2 linked regions of the Caenorhabditis elegans genome follow. The protein of the gene in region 2 purifies or fractionates together with the protein of the main gene of each other region. This does not show direct contact. Each region holds a gene or a part of one and is shown on either strand. Other genes may lie near its edges. The genes, in order: Y53G8AR.6 and T25E12.6.

Region 1 (4,988 bases), on a different chromosome or scaffold from region 2:
CCGGGGGTACTGTAGCTCCAAAAGTACGCAAACACCGCAACACACCAGATCTGACGACAAACTGCGGAAAAATGGGAAAAACTAGCTTTTTGGGGTGAAAAACGACGGGAAATCTGAATTTTAAACAGGAATTTCCCAAAAACTGACAATTTCACCAGAAACTTCACTTTTAGGGGTACGGTAGCCGCGAAAATACGCAAACACCAGATCTCACGACAAAATGCAGAAAATCCCGAAAAAACGGGTTTTCGGGGTGAAAAATGACGGGGAATTTGAATTTTTCACCCGAAAACACTAAAAAACTCCAATTTTTACCCCTTCAGAGACGGTCATTTCAATTAAAACCGATGCAGACGTGGATTCATCTTCCAATGATTTAATTTTATGCTTTAAATATCGCCGAGAAGCTTCTAATTTGGACTCCACGTGGACTCCATCCCAAATACTGCATAGGGCTTCAATTTCACCGTCTGCAGACTCCATTTTGGCTGAAAATTTGGGGAAAAGAGTCGAGTTTTTCACTAAAAATTTGATTTTTTGTGAAAAATTCAAAAATTTTCGTGGTTTTTCAGTGAAAATTCTCAATTTTTTCAAATTTTCGTTCTAAAAATTCAGCTTAAAATCCAAAATTTCAGGTATGTGATCGATCACACAACAAAAAACTCAAAACTCTAAAAATTACACAAAAAAGCTGTAATTATACTGGAAATCCAGATTTTTCATGGAGAAATTGGGAAAAAACAAAAAGTTAGAGGGAAAATAAGAATAAAACAACAAGTTTTGGGTTAAAAAATTGAAAAAATAAATAAAAAATATAATTTTTTTCGGGGAAAAACACACGAAAATCGAGGAAAATGGGAAATTTTTTAGGGAAAAAAGTGATTTTTTCATAAATTTTCACGAAAATTAGGGAAAAGTGATTTTTTTCAAGGAAAACTCGAGAAAATAATCAAATTTCGTTAAAATTTAATTTTTTTTTCGGCAAAAAATCTAAAATTTTGACGGAAAAATCGCAAAATTTAGCCAGAGTCGAAATTTTCTAGAAAAATCACAAATTCGAGAGGAAAACGATTTTTTTTCGATAAAAATCTAAAATTTTGGGGGAAAATTTAAATTTTTCAGTGAAAGTTGCAAAATCTCAGCAATTTTCATATATTTTAATGAAATTTTGAATTTCTTGGGGTACTTTGGTCAAAAATGTTAATTTTTACAGAATTTTTCAGTTTTTTCAGCAAAAAATTGGGTTTCAGCTCATTTTTCGCCAAAAAATTCAAAAATTTAGCTCAAAAATCTCATTTTTTCTCAATTTTCCCAAAAAAAAAAAGTAAAAAATGCACAAAAATCAGAAAATTAATTAGATGTTCCAAATCGTTCCATTCTTGCTTTTTTCTTTGCTTCCATCTCCTCATCATCAATTTCACCACCGAATCGTTTGGCTCGAGCAGCCAATTTTGCAGCTTTTCCCTCAGAATTTGGAGCATTTTTCGAAGCTGAAGCTGAAGCTGCTCCACCAACTGGAATTCCAAAACGGGCGGCACGGGCGGCCAGCTTATCATCAGCGGCAGGCGTTTTTGGGGTAATTCCGAATCTTTCAGCACGTGAAGCCTTCGCGTCATTTGATGTTAGTCGTTTTGAGTCTTCTGGGAGATCAAATCTGCAAAAAATTTGGGTTTTGGAGGAGTTTTAAGGTGAAAATTGGGATTTTTTTTGGGATTTTTGGCAATTTTTGGGTCAGAAAGTTAGAAATTTAGGTGTTTTTAAGTGAAAAACGGGGTTTTTGGAGAGTTTTTAGGTGAAAATTGGGATTTTTTTTTGGGATTTTTGGCAATTTTTGGGTCAGAAAGTTAGAAATTTAGGTGTTTTTAAGTGAAAAACGGGGGTTCTGGAGAGTTTTTAGGTGAAAATTGAGATTTTTTGGCATTTTTTGTATTACAGAGTCAGAAATTTAGGCTTTTTAAGTGAAAAATTGCATTTCAGGTTGGAAAATTTGTAATTTAAGGCATTTTTGATAGAAAATTTTTTTGGACTTTTTGATGGTTTTTAAGCGAAAAAATGAGATTTTTCGACTTTTTTGTGGTGAAAATCGGATTTTTCTGGCATTTTTTATACAGGAAATCAGGATTTTTGGTGTTTTTAAGGTGAAAATTGAGATTTTTTGGCATTTTTCAGTGAAAAATGAAGATTTTTAGTGCTTTTTAAGTAAAACTCGGGATTTTTGGCATTTTTTTTTCTTTTTTTTTTCATTTTTACAGTGAAAAATTAGGATTTTTCACGTTTGTTGTAGTTAAAATTGGAGTTTTTGGCATTTTTATCAGTGGGAAATTCAAAAATCTCAAAATTCTAAAAATTTTAGTGTAAATATGGCTGGAAATTGCGTTTTAGAGGTTTTTTGGGAGAAAAATTTGTAAAAATGCGAATTTACAAGTTTTTGAGTGAAAAAAAAGGATTTTACAGCAAATTTTCGTGCGAAAAACTTTAAAAATATAATTTTTAGTGAGAATTGAGGGCAAAAATCCCATTTTTCCAGTTTTTAAGCTGAACACGTCAGATTTTCCACAAAATGCATCGTTTTTCAGCATTTTTAAGCCAAAAATTGATAGATTTTCAACCTCTTAGCCCTGGCAGCCTTAGCTCCATCCGAGCCGAGGTCTTCAGCAGTGACGGGGAGCCCAAATCGTATGGCACGGGCTCTTTTATCAGTTTCTGCAGTAACTTCATCGATTTTCTTATCAATTAAATGAACTTCATGCTTCTCTTCTCCCTCGGATTTATCTGTTTTGTGCTCTTCTGCTCCGTCAACTGATCCCAGAAGCTTATCAGCTTCAGATTCGTCTCCAACACTCGGAGCATCGAGAATATCATCATTTAGAATATCATCTGATAATAAATGAGTGTCAGATGTGATTCCAGCGTCGCCCAGAAGCTCGTCGGCTGCCTGGAAAATTAAAAAATTTAAATTAAAAAAAGAAAAAATTTTTTTTTTTGCTTTTTTTCCAAAAAATTTGGATTTTTCGCTATTTTTTCATCAAAATTCCCAAATTTTCCTTCTTTTCCAACCTGCTCAATGCTTTCTGTGAGCCTTGCCAACAGCTCCGGCTTGTTTCCGGTGTTATCGAGCCCACGGCTGGCGAGTTCCTCCTTCAGACGTGGAACTGTCAATTTCTTGGCATCGGCGACGCTAAGAACCATTTTTTATCTGCAATTTGAACAATTTTAAATAAGAAAACGCGGGAAAAATTGGGAGAATCCCGCGAAAAAATCAATAGCGTAGGCTTTACAGGTTTTTAGACGGTTTCTAGCGGATTTTTAGCTGAAAATCAACATTTTTAACCCAAAAAATGCAATTTTCATTCATTTTTCAACAGAAAAACCAAAAAAATCGCACGAAAACAAGCGAAATCATTAATTTTTGTTTAATAAATTTAAAATAAAGATTTGCAATGTCTGCGTCTCTCTCCTTTACACACTCTCTCCACCGGTCCCATCGAGACCCACAGCCCATTTAATCCTATGCGCCTTTAAAAATAATTCTTTTTTTTTCATTTTTGCTCAAATTTGCTCAAAATAATCAGTTTTCCACGGATTTTCTCGAAATTTTCGACATTTTCAGCATGAACCGGGTCTATTGCACCGCGCGAAGCTTCAGAACAAGTGTAAAATCGAACGGATGGGTACATAAATGGTCGAGATTCAAGCGGTGGCAGGAAATGCAGGCGGCACATGTGGAAAATGTGCAGGAAAAGCAGAGGAATAAGAATTTTATTCGATTACCGACGGGACTGTATATTACACCGGAAAGACCCGATGATTGTGGGTTGTTAATTGGGAAAAAAATCGATTTTTACTGAAAATTACCGGAAAAAATTGGTTTTTTTCCAGTAAATCCCAAAAAAGCGCCAGCAGACATGACACGGAAGGATACTGGACAGTTGCCGATGGAGCTGCTGACGTGGCACACACAAATGCGCTACGTAGATCATTCAATCGATAATATTAAACGATATCGGAGATATAAAAAGTTTCAGCATATGCAATATGATCAGAGGCGATTTTTTATTGATTTTTATTGATTTTTCAAGAAAAATACCCTAAAAAATGCTATTTAAAACCTTGAAAACCCCATTTTTTTGCAGAGTAATCCCCGAAAGACTACTTTTCCTCGGGCCCGACCTGGCGGCGGCTCATTTTCTGGTACACAGAGGTGCGGCGGTGAAGTTTGTCGGCGATGATAATTGGTATAAGAAGGATAAGTGGAATGTGAGCTAAAAAAAAGAAAACTAAGAGGAAATTGCGAAAAAATTGGGTTTTCCCCGAAAAAATACTAAAAAACTCGGTTTCTCTGCGGGTTTTCACTTTTTTCTTGGGTTTCTAGACAATTTCCACCCTAAAATTCAAATTCCCCGTCATTTTTCACCCCGAAAACCCGTTTTTTCGGGATTTTCTGCATTTTGTCGTGAGATCTGGTGTTTGCGTATTTTCGCGGCTACCGTACTCCTACAAGTGAATTTTCTGGTGAAATTGTCAGTTTTTGGGAGATTCCTGTTTAAAATTCAGATTTCCCGTCGTTTTTCACCCCCCAAAAGCTAGTTTTTCTCATTTTTCCGCAGTTTGTCGTCAGATCTGGTGTGTTGCGGTGTTTGCGTACTTTTGGAGCTACAGTACCCCCGGACATTCCAATTTTGCGCTAAAACTTCAGAAAAAAGCTTTCAGGTGTAGAAATTGGCAGGAAATTCGATTTTCGAATCATTTTTCAGAAAAATTAATCGGAAAAAGGATTATTTCTCTTTTTTTTTCAAAATTTTGTTATTTTTCTCCATTTTTAAAGTTTTTTGCACAATTTTGAGTGGAAAATCGAGTTTCTCGTCATTTTGCACCCCAAAAAACGTGATTTTCCCAATTTTCTGCATTTTGTCGTCAGATCTGGTGTTTGCGTACTTTTGGAGCTACAGTACCCCCGGAAATTCCAATTTTACGCTATAACTTCAGAA
Region 2 (4,869 bases):
CCAAAGGTCGAGGATGATTCGGAAAAGCAGCGTATCGCCTGGGAGGCTGGACATCCGGATTATCTTGGAAAAGACGCTTTCAAGAATATCCAAAAAGCACTTGACGAGAGCATGGCCGCTGTGAAGCCACCGGCGAAACCCTAATTTTTCCATTAAATTGCCATAATGTATTTCTATAGTTTTCTAATAGTTCAGAGATTTATTCATATTGTGATCGCACTCGTATTCATGTACCATATCAATAGGAAAATAGAATAAATTCGCTATTTCCTATTTTTAAAGGACTTTTTAGGCGATATTCACGGAATTTTGGCTTCCTTCATAAATTGTAATGGAAGAGTTTGCCGAACAAGGCCATTTTGGCTCGGCCATATCTGGGGTAGATTTACGGCGAGTTGCGTGTCGCGTCGCGGCTCGAATTTAGTTGTAAAACTAAATGTATTTGTCCGTGTGGAGTGCACGCGTTGTCCGGCAGGTGATTGTCAATGAAGCGCGAAAAATTCAATGAGGAAGGGCTGAACCCCGTGGATATTTATTCACAAAAGATTAAATTTACAGATTGAAGATGACAAATTAAGCCTGACGAGTCTCCGATGTGAATCTGACTCCATTTTTTGTGACTTCTGCGTACAGGTTGTAGGTTCCGCTCTTCCACGTGTATCTTATAGTTTCAGGATCATTTTCGTGTGGAATTCCCATTGATCCCCACATGAAATCGAACAGCTCCGACACGTTTTGCACGCCGATTTCGTTGTCTTTTGGCGTTTTCTGGTTCAAGTATTTCTGAAAAATAGGATTCAAGCGAAAATCTTTGATCTACTGTGACGTTTTACGGGAACACAAAGTTGTGCGTATTGTGCAACACATTTGACGCACAAAATATCTCGTCGCGAAAACTACAGTAATCCTTTAAACGACTACTGTAGCACACATGTCGATTTACGGGTCCGATGTTAAAAATGATATTCAATTTTCTTTATTTTTCGTCATGTTTTGTAATTTTTTTTGTTTTCATTTAATATTTTATCGAATAAAAATTGAGCTCCGTAAATCGACACAAGCGCTACAGTAGTCATTTAAAAAGTTACTGTAGTTTTCGCGACGAGATATTTTGCGTGGAACATTACGCATTTTTCTGTTCCAGTTGTAACGTGGATAGAGATTTTGCTTCAAACAAACAAATCAAAAACAGTCTCCAATTCAGAAAATACACAAAAGAAAAGCGAAAAACTTTTCAATTTTGGCTGAATTTTCTGCTTGAATTCCCTCCAAAATAAGATTTTCGGATCAATCAGCGTCTGCGATCTCCGCCCACTTCATCTGATTGGATCAGAAGTGGGCGGAGCAAATTGTTCATTGGTCGCAGTTCTCGTTTTAGGGAACATTTAACCAATATTGAAAAATCTTGTTCTGCTAAGTCTAGGCGTAAGCATAAGCCAAAGCCTAACCCTAATCCTACGTCTAAGACTAAGACTAAGCGTAAGCCTAATCCCAAGCGTAAGTCTACGCCTAAGCCAAAGCCTAATATTTGCCTAAATCTAAGCCTAATAGTAAGCCTAAGCCAAGGCCTGATTTTTCCGAATTTTAGACTATTTTTGATTCGTTTGGATCGAAGCAACACAATAAAATTTAAAAAAAAACCCACCAAAACCAATAATATAACATCGATTTGCTTTAACTCAGGAATTCGAATTCTCAAACTCTCAAAGTGAGCGTGCGATTCAACTGGAAATGCAACTGGCTCGCCGGTCATTGTATTGAGCTCTTTCGCCTGCTTCCATTGCTCCGTGGTGATTATGTTATCGATGACTGTTGGTGACACGTACAGCGGGTTGAACAGGCAAATTCTTCGGAGATATCCTGAAAAAACTTTAATTTTTTTGAATAATATTTGATTTTGTAAGCAGATCTCTGGAGCTTGTGTGCCTTTAATGAGGGATTACGGTTTTTGTTATTACACATACGCGGAAAAAATACAGGAAAATTTCATAGCATAGTAGTGAAAGTTTAAAGTTACAGTACTCTTTAAAGGCGCACACCGTTTTGAAGTTAACAAAAATTGTCGTGGCGAGACCGGATACCGGGTTTTGGAAAATTGAAAATTTTAGCGTCTGGGTAATAATCAACATTCAAAAACGATGGATTTTCGAAATTACAGTAACCCCTTTTTAAAGGCGCACTACGAGTTTTGCACCATGTTCAAAGTATTTAAGCTCGCCGAGGCTGTTTACACTCATTTCGGTCCTTTTTTTGAGTTAAAATGTTATATTCAAATCGAAAGAAAGCAACTAACCTGGTTCAAAATACGGCAAAAGGCACATCACCTCCTCCTCCTTCCCATTGTACACAATCTTGAACACCTCCACTTCAAGCTTCTTCATCAATGCTCTCATCATTGCCTTGAGCATTTTAGTCAAACTAGCCGACCTTTCATCCCATTTCGCATGCTCCGTCTTGTTATTCTTGTCTCTCACAAAGTATTGATTCAGAATTCGATAGTAAAAGCAATCGACTTTGACACCTGGCTGGCGCAAAATCGAGTAGAGAGTTACAATGGCAATCGGTGCACTCGGGTACATCGAAGTGCATTCCTTTTTCTGAACGAGCACCCGATTCAATGAAATCTGTTCGATACAAGCTTCACCGGGGTACTCCTGGATTTCAACTTCGTAACGGTTACCGTCGTTTCCAATAAGCAAGATTTCCATACTATCAGTGTAGACATGCAGCTCAATGAGCTTGATGTGATTGTTCTTGAACTCGAAGACGAATGGCGTCGGCTCTGGAGCCTCTTCAGTTGGAGCATTGGGGGCAGTGGATTCCATTTTTAGAGTATAATATATAAGGCAAAAGAGAAGAAGGAGAATACAGAAATGAGTAGTAAACAGAAGAAACAACTGGCAGAAGAATGACGGTGGTAGTGGTTCACTAGCTAGTTGTAAGGTGGAACGCGCAATGTGCGCTATAAATCGATCGATGCGGGTCCTTGAAGAGCACGGTTATTGCACGGGAGACGTTACGTCATAAAAACGACATCTGGTTGGTACGCTGCATATGTACTCTACAGTGGCAGCTCATATATCGGTTCCTTGCAAAATGATGGGAAAGTGCTCAACTACCGAGGAAATGTTACAATGAAAAACACTGCCAATTTATTAAAATTCTCCCAAATGAAAAAAATCATTTTCCTAGATAATTTTTTGAACGAACATAGTAGAAAACCGCTATCTACTTTCAAAGCGCCTACCTGCCTGACTTCAAAACGAGCTCCACTTGCCTCACGCCTCAATACGTGGCTTATGCTAAACATATGTATGTGATTTTTTTTTTAATTTCTAAAATTGATTTTTAACAAAATGATAGAAATGAGTAGTGTCAAAATGCCGAAAAGAGGCAAAAGACCGGCGCCAGGCGAGTCAGGTTTCAGGCAGCCGTCATGCCCTGAAACCGCGCCTGCCTACCATGAAAGCCCTAGCAGTCAAGCTGAATAAATTAACTTGGCATATTTCAAAACACTCGGACGAAGAAAAAGAAACATTTTTTTTGGTCAACTTTCTCTGAAACTTTGTAAAATTAACTAATTGTCTTCCTAATTATTTTCCATATAAAAAAAAAAACATTGGAATCTACAATTGTTACTTAGAATTTCAAAAAATCGATATAAACTTCGCGTTTTTCAGTTGAAAACATTAGTTTTACAAATTCAAACTGTGACATCTTTAAAAACCGTTTTTTTTTAATTAAAAAAATACAATAATCGTCAAAAACAAAAAATCACCAAGAAAATCTTTATTCAAGTACACGAATTCTTGATTGATCGCTTACACAAAAATTTGCCCGTTTCCGTACAAAATCTAGTAAACCATTTTCCAACATTCTGCATTCCAGGTGCAACTGTCATATGAACACAAGTGGAATTATAGAAAAATTTCAAGTTGTTATAATTTGCCGGTGTACCATCAAGCCAATAAATAAAATCCTGGGCCGGTGCAAGTGCACCGATCAATATTTCGCCTATAAAATCGTAGATAGTCATGATGAAGCGGACTTCGTTCGCCGAGTGGATGGAGACCAGGTTTGCACATTTCTCAAGGCAAAAGTTCTGGGCCTGTGGGACTGTGAGATTCAAGTCAAAGCGGAGATAACATGACTTCTCGTAATTGTTCTTGCATCCATCTTCTGAAAATTATATTTTTTTGTAAAATATTGTAAAATATTAATCTTACTACCTTGAAAAGTTGCCGGAAGCTCGCAAACGAAGTTCATAACCTGACCGCATTGTTCGTTACCCCATTGCCCAGCTTCATCCCCAGAAGTTATGAAGTACACACAATTTCCATAGACAATATTTGGAAAACCTATGAATTTCTTTTGTTATGACGAATATTTAAAGTATCCCAAACCATCTGCAAAATTGCTATAATTCGCTGTTGATCCGTTTTCGATGTCCCATATGCATGAGATGGGTTCTCCAGCACTACACAGCAGACCCGACCACAGAAAATCAATGTCCTGGCCTTTTACAAAGTGTATCATTGCTCTGTTGTCCTGAAAGCGGGATCTAATTGGCTTATTATTTTTTCTTTTCCTGCCGGTCAAATCGCGGAAGGATTCGTAAATGAAAATTTGCCGAGCAAATCGAACACAGAACTACTTTTCAGTTTTGCAAGATACCTGTTCACTTTTTATGGAAAAAAGAGTGGCACCTCCATACCCATTACAAATTTTGTCGGCGTCTGGTCTTGCTTGATTTGAAGTTACCAGTTTCCAACACTTGTTGTTGACTAGGGTGAAGCCGTGCTGGCATGAGAAATCCGATGGGGCTGAAGACTTTAAAGGTGGAGTCTCGCCAGCAAGGAAAGTGTTTAA

What was found.
Region 1: the proteins of T25E12.6 (region 2) and Y53G8AR.6 fractionate together in Caenorhabditis elegans (co-fractionation; one large-scale study listed by BioGRID). This does not show direct contact.

Annotation. Positions count from the first base shown.
Region 1 is NC_003281.10:3,292,953-3,297,940, reverse strand, and holds Y53G8AR.6 (SAP domain-containing protein), read right to left. Parts: upstream 3,199-4,988; 5' UTR 3,190-3,198; coding exon 3,058-3,189; intron 2,936-3,057; coding exon 2,610-2,935; intron 1,655-2,609; coding exon 1,351-1,654; 3' UTR 693-1,350; downstream 1-692. Other genes in the region: Y53G8AR.5 (RING-type domain-containing protein), read right to left, coding at 316-483; Y53G8AR.8 (ATP synthase subunit s-like protein), read left to right, coding at 3,612-3,810, 3,880-4,045, 4,134-4,257.
Region 2 is NC_003283.11:16,740,513-16,745,381, reverse strand, and holds T25E12.6 (DUF38 domain-containing protein), read right to left. Parts: upstream 2,960-4,869; 5' UTR 2,826-2,959; coding exon 2,294-2,825; intron 1,861-2,293; coding exon 1,646-1,860; intron 784-1,645; coding exon 574-783; 3' UTR 501-573; downstream 1-500. Other genes in the region: gyg-2 (glycogenin glucosyltransferase), read left to right, coding at 1-144; clec-39 (C-type lectin domain-containing protein), read right to left, coding at 3,794-4,179, 4,227-4,358, 4,404-4,548, 4,675-4,823.